Oryzias latipes: one gene and its partners. The protein of the gene in region 1 interacts with the protein of each later gene in a pairwise test. Links are inferred from orthologs where the notes say so. Each region holds a gene or a part of one and is shown in the gene's direction. Other genes may lie near its edges.

The links.
Region 2: the proteins of trim23 (region 1) and nek6 interact in binary tests that used the Homo sapiens proteins (3 or more experiments, as listed by UniProt). The link is inferred for Oryzias latipes from reciprocal best matches to the Homo sapiens genes TRIM23 and NEK6.
Region 3: the proteins of trim23 (region 1) and bag1 interact in binary tests that used the Homo sapiens proteins (3 or more experiments, as listed by UniProt). The two-hybrid records come from large-scale screens. The link is inferred for Oryzias latipes from reciprocal best matches to the Homo sapiens genes TRIM23 and BAG1.

The regions. Positions count from the first base shown.
Region 1 is NC_019870.2:3,055,370-3,058,538, reverse strand, and holds part of trim23 (E3 ubiquitin-protein ligase TRIM23), read left to right. Parts: intron 1-2,055; coding exon 2,056-2,190; intron 2,191-2,261; coding exon 2,262-2,391; intron 2,392-2,471; coding exon 2,472-2,582; intron 2,583-3,169.
Region 2 is NC_019870.2:24,939,265-24,943,020, forward strand, and holds the start of nek6 (serine/threonine-protein kinase Nek6), read left to right. Parts: upstream 1-1,493; 5' UTR 1,494-1,599; intron 1,600-1,944; exon of another isoform or gene 1,945-1,963; intron 1,964-3,756. UniProt on the Homo sapiens protein: Protein kinase which plays an important role in mitotic cell cycle progression. Required for chromosome segregation at metaphase-anaphase transition, robust mitotic spindle formation and cytokinesis.
Region 3 is NC_019875.2:29,408,363-29,412,118, forward strand, and holds bag1 (BAG family molecular chaperone regulator 1), read left to right. Parts: upstream 1-1,148; 5' UTR 1,149-1,242; coding exon 1,243-1,279; intron 1,280-1,791; coding exon 1,792-1,920; intron 1,921-2,212; coding exon 2,213-2,295; intron 2,296-2,366; coding exon 2,367-2,480; intron 2,481-2,563; coding exon 2,564-2,671; intron 2,672-2,758; coding exon 2,759-2,821; intron 2,822-2,907; coding exon 2,908-2,997; 3' UTR 2,998-3,496; downstream 3,497-3,756. UniProt on the Homo sapiens protein: Co-chaperone for HSP70 and HSC70 chaperone proteins. Acts as a nucleotide-exchange factor (NEF) promoting the release of ADP from the HSP70 and HSC70 proteins thereby triggering client/substrate protein release.

The DNA.
Region 1 (3,169 bases):
AACACATTAACTCACAACACAACACAATAACTCACAACACATTAACTCATAACACAACACATTAACTCACAACACATTAACTCACAACACAACACAATAACTCACAACACAACACATTAACTCACAACACAACACAATAACTCACAACAGATTAACTCACAACACAACACATTAACTCACAACGGAAGTAAAGCAGCAATGGAAGTGCTTTTATTCTGAAATTTCCACTGGGCTGATTGGCTAACTGCCTAACAGAAAGTAACGTCACAGTGAGCTGTGGAGGGAGCATGTTTCTTCTACAAGAGAAGCTACACAATGTTAACGCACACTCCTCCGCGCTGCACTCACACCCCTCTCTGTCGCTGCGCGTGCTCCGCTCCTCTCCGTTCTTCAGCCCCCTCCTCTCACACTCACTCGGTCCCCAACACCCCCCACCCACCCACACACCCTCCCAGTCCCTGCACGCGCTCCTCTCCTTTCTTCCCCTCCCTCTTCCTCTCACACACGCACGCGGTCCCCAACACTTGACACGACACATGTGGAGAAATCCCCACTGTCAGGCTTTAATGAACACAATTTCTAAGAGGCGGGGCGTTGCACTCCCCCAACAACAGGTTAGATGACAAAACCCGGTCCATTAAGCTCTGCCGTTCACGGAGCTTCAGTAGAACTCCAAAAGCCACACGGCCTAACGTAGGCCGCTATTATATATTCATGAGTGGGAAAAAACCCGCTGAACCGACCTTTAAACCATACAAATTATGCATTTTTGACCGCAAATTTACACCCAAAACCGCCCAATCTGGCAACGCTGCTGCTAGCTTCTCTTGTAGAAAATCATGCTCCCTCCACAGCTCACTGTGACGTTACTTTCTGTGAGGCAGTTAGCCGCTCAGCCCAGTTGAAATTTCAGAATAAAAGCACTTCCATTGCAGCTTTACTTCCGTTGTGAGTTAATGTGTTGTGTTGTGAGTTAATGTGTTGTGAGTTATTGTGTTGTGTTGTGAGTTATTGTGTTGTATTGTGAGTTAATGTGTTGTGTTGTGAGTTATTGTGTTGTGTTGTGAGTTAATGTGTTGTGTTGTGAGTTATTGTGTTGTGTTGTGATTAATGTGTTGTGTTGTGAGTTAATGTGTTGTGTTGTAAAGTTAATGTGTTGTGTGTAAAGTTAATGTGTTGTGTTGTAATTTATTGTGTTGTGTTGTGAGTTATTGTGTTGTGTTGTGAGTTAATGTGTTGTGTTGTGAGTTAATGTGTTGTGTTGTGAGTTATTGTGTTGTGTTGTGATTAATGTGTTGTGTTGTGAGTTAATGTGTTGTGTTGTAAAGTTAATGTGTTGTGTGTAAAGTTAATGTGTTGTGTGTAAAGTTAATTTGTTGTGTTGTGATTTAATGTGTTGTGTGTAAAGTTAATGTGTTGTGTTGTGAGTTAATGTGTTGTGTGTAAAGTTAATGTGTTGTGTTGTGACCCTTCTGGGCCACCGTACTAAATAGTGCCTTCAGCATTTTCTAGTTCTGTCCGAATCTACAATTCCAAAATCCAGTGCCCTGGAAATTTCCCTGAAGTCTCTGCAAAAAAACCTGTGTGCATCGATGCTCACTATATCATTTAATATAGACCACAATGCATTGCGTCGGAACATTTTATACCAAAATAAATGCGTTAAAATGTATTTTTTTAATAGACCATCAATGTTTTTATTTTCAGGAGACAGTGGACTCATAAATAATCGTCGCAAAACGCTCACAGCACTTCGTGAAATTGATGACATCATATTCGCCGTTTAAAACAAAAGTAGTGAGCGTGGCGTCCGAATTGCTGTTAAAATTCAGGGCTCGACATAGTGCAGCACTATAGAGTTTTTTAGTAGTTAGGGGTTATGGTGGGAATTTGGACAGAGCCTTGATCTTATTTTGAAAATGTTCGTGTGTTTTAGAATTTGGATCAGTTTTTTTGTTCATGATAACTTCTCTGAATCAGTAGGAGTAGAGTGGTGCGTTCCAAGGCATTGAAAGCACCGTGTTGTGTTTGCGTGCGGCTTCTCTCCCGATGCAGGACGACTGCAGGGTTGTTCTGGCAAAGCAGGAGATCAGCTGTTTACTGGAGACGCTTCAGAAGCAGCAGCACCAGTTCACGGAGCTGGCAGACCACATCCAGCTGGACGCCGGCATCCCCGTCACCTTCACCAAGGTCTTCGTCTGCGTTTGGAAACCTTTGCCTCGCGGTGACAAACCCAAAGCTAAACTGAAACGTGTCTTCAGGACAACCGAGTTCACATCGGACCAAAGATGGAGATCCGGGTGGTGACTCTGGGGCTCGATGGGGCTGGAAAAACAACCATTCTATTCAAGCTGAAGCAAGACGAGTTCATGCAGCCCATCCCAACCATCGGTAAAGACGTCTGCACTGGTTAACCATACGATCTTTGAAAGATTGAGTTGAATGAAACTTGGTTCTGGTTCTTTTTTGAGGCTTCAACGTGGAGACCGTCGAGTACAAGAACTTAAAATTTACCATCTGGGACGTTGGTGGAAAGCATAAGCTGAGGCCGCTCTGGAAACACTATTATCTCAACACTCAAGGTTGGTGCTTCACTTGTTATTCTTCTGATTAACTTATAGTGGTTAAATGAAAAAGGAGATTTTGCTCAGCTTTAGTTTCTTTTTTTATCGACCAAGAACTTCGCAGATGGGGTCTTCTGGAAATTGTCTCAGTAACAGCAGGAACAGACTTTTTTTTAACTTTATCTAAAGTTGTTTTTAGACTTTTTTTTGTAAACTCACTTTGAGGGAATTGCACCACAGACTTGTCCTGTAGTCGTCCTCATCCAGAGAGTCGAGTTGTAGTAAATGCTTGTGTGCAAAGCTCACTTTAAGCTGACTGCATATGAAAACTGGACGGAGTGACTCCTCCCCCCTGGCGTCCCAAACAGGAGGTAAATCCTGGCTCCCAGAAGCCAAAAACCTATAGACTTCTATAAATAAACCGCTATTACTCAATCAATGAATGATTTTTCACCTTTTCTATCACAATTTAAGGCTCCAGCAGAAAGAAATGGATCAGAGTAGAACTACCAATCAGATTGACTTGATTTCAATTTATTTAACAATTTACATTTAAACCAAATGGATGTTATTTTTACTTTTGCATAATTAGTGACATAATATGA
Region 2 (3,756 bases), about 22 Mb from region 1:
ACTGAAAAAAGAGAAGGCAGGGATACAGCAAGACATTTCTGTTGCAACACTTGTACAGGAAGACAAAACAGGTAAAAGAACAGAATCAACACAAAATAAAGAAACTGAAGAATGAGAAAAAAGGACAGAAAAGGAGAAGAAAAGCAAAGGGTGGTGAAGGTTTTATTTTTATTGAAACCACTCCACAGTGAACTGGTTTGATCAATCATTTGTTTTTAGTAAATCCTGACAAATTAAAGAAAAGACAGAAGCTCATCATTTGTTCCTACTAGGAAGTGAGGGATTAACCCATTAGTGCATTCATTCATTTCTAATTAAAAACAATTTATATAAAATACATTTAACATTTAAATGTGATTTAATTTTTTCGAAGCAAATCAAAACACCTTGATGCTGTCTAGAACTAACAGATGTTTTACCCTATAAGGATTTAACAAAAAGAATATGAATATAAATGCTGCAAAGGGTCCCATATTATTGACACACACATTATATATTATTATTATAACACACACATTTGAACACAAACATACTAACAGGCACAGACACTAAGAAAAACACTAAAATACACACAAAACTCAAACAAACATACATATTTAGTGTGTAATGATTAATAGATTAATCAATAATTCGATTTCTATTCCTACCATCCAACCAGATCAATTTGTCCGAGGCAAAATTTTCATTAAATCGACCTATATCACTGTAAAATCTTTTCAAAGTAAAATAAATTCATTTTATCAATATTGGTAATTGCCGTTTATTGAAACAAAGATTTATTTTACTATGATGTAAAAACAACCAAGTACCATCAAAGTGGACAACAGACGTGATGAAAGCGAAAACTGACCACAGTCCATCATTCCAGTCCAATGTGTGGAAACACTTTGAATGTCATGTGACCATCCAGTGTGCTAGAATGTTCTAATAATGTTTCCTTTGGATTCTTTGGATGTGGTAAAACAACTGAACTCTAGGAAACTATAATGTGAATGGGTTTATCATCAATTCTGGTTTACTTGTGTGATTATACACATATTTAATTTACACTTGAAAGTTATCCATTGCATCTGGAAAACGTCACCTTCATTGAACCAGGAATTATCTCGGAGTCACACTGGTTGAGGTTTTGGCTGAAGATGTTCTGGATCCATTTTAGGTCAGTGAATCGGATCATTTGAAATGAACCAAAGTTTTGAATCGAATCAGCAACCAAAGGCTGTGATAGAAATGGAATTGTTGGTGAAAGGAATGGTTACATCCCTGTAATAACTCACGCACGCACACGCCCCTTTTGCTCGGTTCGTACAGAAACTCCCCACGTGGGAGGAATCCGTCCTGGAAACATGTGGCATCTGCGGTACCTGCTCAGGTACGTTGGGGGGGTTGTTTCTAACCCAATGCTGCCACGCCGCGGGAACCCACGAGCTGCGAAAAAAGGTTGTCACGTGTTCTGAATCTGAACGGCAGAGAAATCAACCGCGCGTGGCGGCAGCAGCTGAACAGCAGCAGGAGGAGGAGGTTCTGGGGAATAAATGAGCGGACCAAGAGCGACGGAACACGAAATGAGAGCGGCCGCAGATCCAAATTCTTCCTGAGGTAGGGCTTCAGACGCACTCTTTGCGTGACGTGTTTGCTGAACTACTCTGCGTTTGGACGGCGAGCTGACCGTGAGTTTCCACGCGTGTGGCTCTGAGACGCCTCGCGCTCATTTGCTCGTTCCGGAGACCCAGAACTCTCGGTTCGGGGCGTCAACCACCATGTAGAAACGACGTTTGTGACAGGACCGGGGACGGAAAGACCAGCAAGAAGTCCCCCCATCTGCTGCAAATGTATGGAAAGCTGGATGTGTCAAAACCGGTGAATAAAAAAAAAAAAAAAATCAAGACAGTGTCCATCCGTACATCATGTTCAGAATTCGTGGGGCCAGCCCTGACCTTTTTTCTCGGCCCCAAGTCTTAAGGTTAGTATTATGGTTGGGGTTTCGGGTTAAACCACCAAATAGTTCCTGAGCGCGGCTGTGTTTCTGCAGCTCAGCGTCCTCCAGGGGACGGATCAAATGATGCAGAAAAAACATTTCTCACAGCTACTGTGTGACAGATAAGTTTCATTTTAAATATGTGCGGCCAACAACCTTGGATGCACTTAAAATACATGCGGGCAAATGCAGCAGTGCACATCTTGGCTGCACGAATTAATGAAGATGATTTTCCATCGCTGTTTGTGCTGGGCGGTCGCACTTGAGAAAAACATCAGCCTTGAATCAAATATTCTAAATGCGTTAAACTATAGCAGACCAGTATACGGTAAATCAAAACATGGCTGTCTATGAATGAAAATGGACAAAAAAAATGCATCTTGTTGGTATAAGCTACATGTGAGGTTTATTTATTTTTTATTTTCACTAATCTTTTTTACGTACAGTAAGCTAAAGTGTCAATTTATACAGATTTTGTTATATAACAAGTATTTAACAGGTTTGATCTGAAATGATCTACGCTAACTAACTGACACCGCTGCACGTTAGCCACGTTAGTTTTTTTTACAATAACACCCAGCCTTTTTTGCAAGTCCTAAAAAACATAGTGACATTTTGACAGAGCGCCATATAGCTCTCAAAATCACTTAGATATCAGTAAACATATCCAGAATTATACCATGGTCCGGTAGGGTTGTGCGATATCATCGTCCATCGTGATGGGTGACTGACATCCCGATGGAGAGACCACCATCGTGATGCCACGCCCCCGCCACGTTGCGCGTCGACACCATAAGCCGCGGTTACATGTACAAAATATCTTGATGGGATCAATGGTCGGATTAGAATCCAACCGTGTACATGGTTCCAGAAAAATGTTTTTAGAATATAAAAACGTTCACTAAGGTCACACTTTCCGTCGGAATAAATCATTCGCACATGCGCAGTAGGGTTTGAAAAACGGAAGGATATAAACTCCGCCGAGCGGCTTTTTTTTTTTTCAAACTTTATTGTATGTAACAATTCAATACAAAACAATGTTAAACAGCGCCGAGCGGCTATATACATTGACATGTCAGCTCGGTAAAATACGAGATGATCTTCTAAACGTGCTTTTAATAATGTTACGGTTATTATGAAACACCTGTTCGCTCATCATTTGAATTTTAATCCGTGTGGTCAGTGCTTTTTCTGAACGAAGCCAGGATTAGTATGCTAACACGGGCTAACAACATTAGCTTTGGATGGTGCTGCTTGCTGGCTGCACGTAAACATGTAAGAATAACATCAGCCTTTATTTAGTCGGGACACGACTGGAAACACAAATCCACGTGATTGTTTGAATGTTTTCTAAGGACTGAGCGACATTTCTGCTTTGATGCTCAAACCGCTGTGTGTGCTGACGATCCGAGCTGTGCTCAGACACACTTTTAGACCCGGTTCTGAGTTCGGTTGCTTGTACCCCTAGAGCTGCGGGACGGATCGCAGTCTTAAATCTCCCACACATACCGCTCATGTACCCCCCCCCCCCCCCTTCCCATCAAACACAAAGCTTTAAGTCCGCACTCCCCCGGAAGTGCGGGAGCGGACTACTTCTCTTCTATTTTGTTTGTTACTTTTTTTGTTAAAGTCACTTCCCTCAGTTTATACTGGATCATCGCGGATTGGGAAATAAACATCGTCAACGGCCAATTTAAGGGACATCGCCCAACCCTATGGTCCGGGTGAATACTCGATTCTGATTGGCTGCTGGGTTTGCAGTAAGAGGGATAACGCAC
Region 3 (3,756 bases), on another chromosome or scaffold:
AGCGCACGCCGTTTCTTTAAACCAAAAGAACATGGACTGGACATTGTTTCCCACAATGCATTTCATTTTTGTAGTTAAATTGGACGTGTAAGGGCATATACATATATAGAAAACAAAATACCTTGTCTCTAGAGTCTAGAGGGACTCGAACTTACAATCTTTGAATCTCTTGTCAACGATTTATTTAGACATCCACTCTGCAAAAGCTGCTTGTTGATAGAGTTCAAGCTCGCTAATTCTTGGAATTGATTTCCAATCAAATCACACATTTTTGCTGATGGGGTTACCTGTTGCAGGTGCTAAAGGTATTTTTCATTTGGTGGTTTATACTAGATGTCCTCCGTTGTAGGTAAACCAGCTGTGTTTTTCCGCTAATGGAAACGTGTAGTAAAATAACAAGTAAATCCCCTTTAATCTAACAATTAAAAAGTTATTTATGTGTGTTCATCTTTTAAATCAACAGTCAGATTTTTTAATATTGTCAATACATCTGTATTTTTCACATAAATAATTTATTTTATGTTATTCTGCTGTAGTACATTAAATAGACCATTATGATGTTTTAATGTGCAAAATCTCCAAAGTTTAATTTAGTGTATATTTCCGTTAGTAACAAATGTCATATACTATTAGGCATGCATATTTCACACATGGCAGAAGAGATCATGAAAGCCACGAGGCCGACATAAAACCTCCAAAATCGCACACGTTCCAAGCGGGGCTCGAACTTGCAACTTCAGGGTGTGTGTTATGAAAGTTGGAAACTTTATATCGACTTACGGGCGCTGTCCTTTTCCCACAATGCATCACGTGTTTGTAGTTAACGCAGTATTTGAGGCGCATAAACTGTAAAAGTAAAAAAGTGCGACTCTGGTGGGACTCGAACCCACAACCTTTGAATCTCTTTTGATCGATTTAGCTAGAAGTCCAATGCGCTATCCATTGCGCCACAGAGCCGGTTGGTCGAGTCAAGGTCTGCATAGAAAGCAAAATTTTCAACATTCGTGACTGACTGTCGGCGTTGGAAAGTTTAAGGATCAAACATTCAAACAGAAAAACACGCTTCGACATTATTTTTTAAATCTGTCTCTATATATTTATACGTATGTATATGGATAAAAAGGACCTTTTGAAATGCAGCGGAAAATCAGTCCGTCATTTCCGGTGCTGACCGGAAGTAGTTAGCTGTTAGCGGAGATAGCCGGGTGACTTGTGTTGAGGTTGAAGAACAAACACAAAGACATGTCTGATCAAACGATAAACCTGATAGTCAACTACGGTAAGAAAACGTTTTGAATTTTAAACAAACGGAGACTGAAGCGGCTCCGAGTCTTAGATGTGACTGTAGCTCAGAAATCCTTTGCTTGTTGTTGTGTAGCCCAAACGCAAAAACCGGTTCTAGGAAAAACTTCTGCTGATCATGATGTGAAATGAACTATTTACTGTTAGGCATTGAATGTCTCAGCAAACTGCTTTACCTGTCTGCTCAAAATTCGAATTATGTTCATTTTTAATTGTGGATTCATAACAAATATAACGTGTCATCAAATGCTAAAAATAGCAGAAAAAAGGTTCAAATCAAAAGACTAATGAGGATCAGACTCTACAAATGGGTTTGATTATAATAAACTTTCAAGAAGTCTCACTTCATTACAGATTTTAAATGAAATAAATTGTAATTGATTAATTTTTGTTGGCTTCACAACTGAGGTTTGGCGATATGAATTCACACAAACCTGTTTTATTTATGTTCACAACGTTATGACAACTGCATGAATGTCTGTTGATCAGGTTCAGTAAAACACAACATCAAACTAACGAGTCCAGATGACGGCAACGGGCCGGCAGTGAAGGATTTATCAGAAGCTGTCTGTCAGGCCACCGGCGTTCCCCCCGCCTCTCAAAAACTCATCTTCAAAGGTTTGGGTTTGACCTACATTCTTTTTTTTTTTTTTTTTTGAATGCATCCCATAATTAGGCCTTGACTCCATGTCGCGGCATTGTGATAGTTTCTGAAAACGAAGATCTAAAGTGATCAACCAGCTGAGCGTTGTTGCAGTGTCGTGGTGATGCAGACAAAAACGGTTGTCGTGGTTACCAGTTTCTTTAATTTGCTAAAAACTATACATAAGGAAGACCAAATCTTTATTTCTGTATTTTCTTTGACTTGGTGCGTCTGCAATTTTTTGCTAACATATTCTTCTTTCTTCAGGGAAGTCTCTGAAAGAGATGGACGAGAGGCTTTCCACCTACGGGATCAAAGACGGCTGCAAACTCATGATGATCGGGAAACGGGTAAGACGCTCGGGCGCCGCCCCTGATTGAGTTGGCGTGCGCACATCCCACTGACAACGCTGTACAAACAGAACAGTCCGGAGGAAGAAGCTGAGCTGAAGAAGCTGAAAGACATTGAGAAGTCGGTGGAAGTGACCGCCAAGAAGCTGGAGAAGGTGGACGGGGAGTTGACGGGACTGAAGAACGTGAGCCACAGATCCTGGAGGGAGAAAAGCATCGTCAGATGGGTCGTTTCTTTGAGGTTTCACCTCTTTTCTTTGCTCTGCAGGGCTTCTTGGCCAAAGACCTCCAAGCTGAGGCTTTGAGCAAACTTGACCAGAGAGTTAAAGTTGCTGCTGAGCAGTTCATGAAGATTCTGGAGCAGATAGACGCCATAGTAATCTCTTTTTGGATTGAGCTTTTTATCCCTCGAGTGTTGGTCATTTCTAACACACTCCTCTCTCTCTCTCTCTTTCCTCTAAAGTCTGTCCCGGAGAATTTTAACGACTTCAGAGTGAAGAAAAGGGGCCTCATAAAAACCGTGCAGGTTAGCCAGTAGGTTTCTTTTTTTCTGCTTTTACTGACGACGCTAAAAAAAATTGACTCCTATTTTTCTGTTTTTCGTGGCCTCAGGACTTCCTGGCCCAGTGCGACAGGCTGGAGGCGGGTATATCAGACCACCTATCAAAGACCCAGTCCAAGAACTTGGCTCTGGCAGACTGAAGCTGCTTCCCTTACTGTGTGCTATCTGTTGCTCTGTGAGCAAAGTGTACCAACGGCTTCAGATGTGGAGCAGATTTTATTTATTTCTCGGTGTGATGTGCTTCATAACGAAAGGAGACTTTGCTGAGATCATGAGGGTCAGCCGTAGGTGAAGATGCGTCTCAGACTCAGACATGGACTGGAGCGTCGGTGGTGCTTTGATGTTTACCGTAGATCAAATCCTCCGTCTGTCCTGTGGCGTTTTCCTCCCATCGGCCTTCAGCTGTTCCTCTCGGTCGCCGCCAGCCTGATCCACAGAAGTAAGTGAACCCTCTTTAGATGTTTCCACCACGTCAACTTGAAGAGGTTTGTGAATTTACAGAGTTGTATTTTTGTTATAAAAAAAGGAGAAAGTCAAATTAGGCAAATCACATCATCATCAACTGACTTCTACTGTACATGTTCATCAAAATCACGACGACTGCAGAAAAATGAATAAATTTTAAGCCAAAAAGACAGATCTCCAATGTTTGGACGTTTATTTCTGAAGTCCCGCTCCCATCATCTTCTGATCGATTTTCCCAGCATTCCTTAATGATGATGCCATTTTTAGCCAAAATCAGAGTAAGCCAGCCCCCACTTCCCATCGCCCATCCTTTTATACAGTGAGCTTAATGGAAAGACCCACTCTGGGGAAACTGGTGTGTTTCTTTAACCTCTTCTTGGGGCATTTTTCTGATGATGGAGGACAAATATTTAAAAGAAATTCAGCTTAAATTG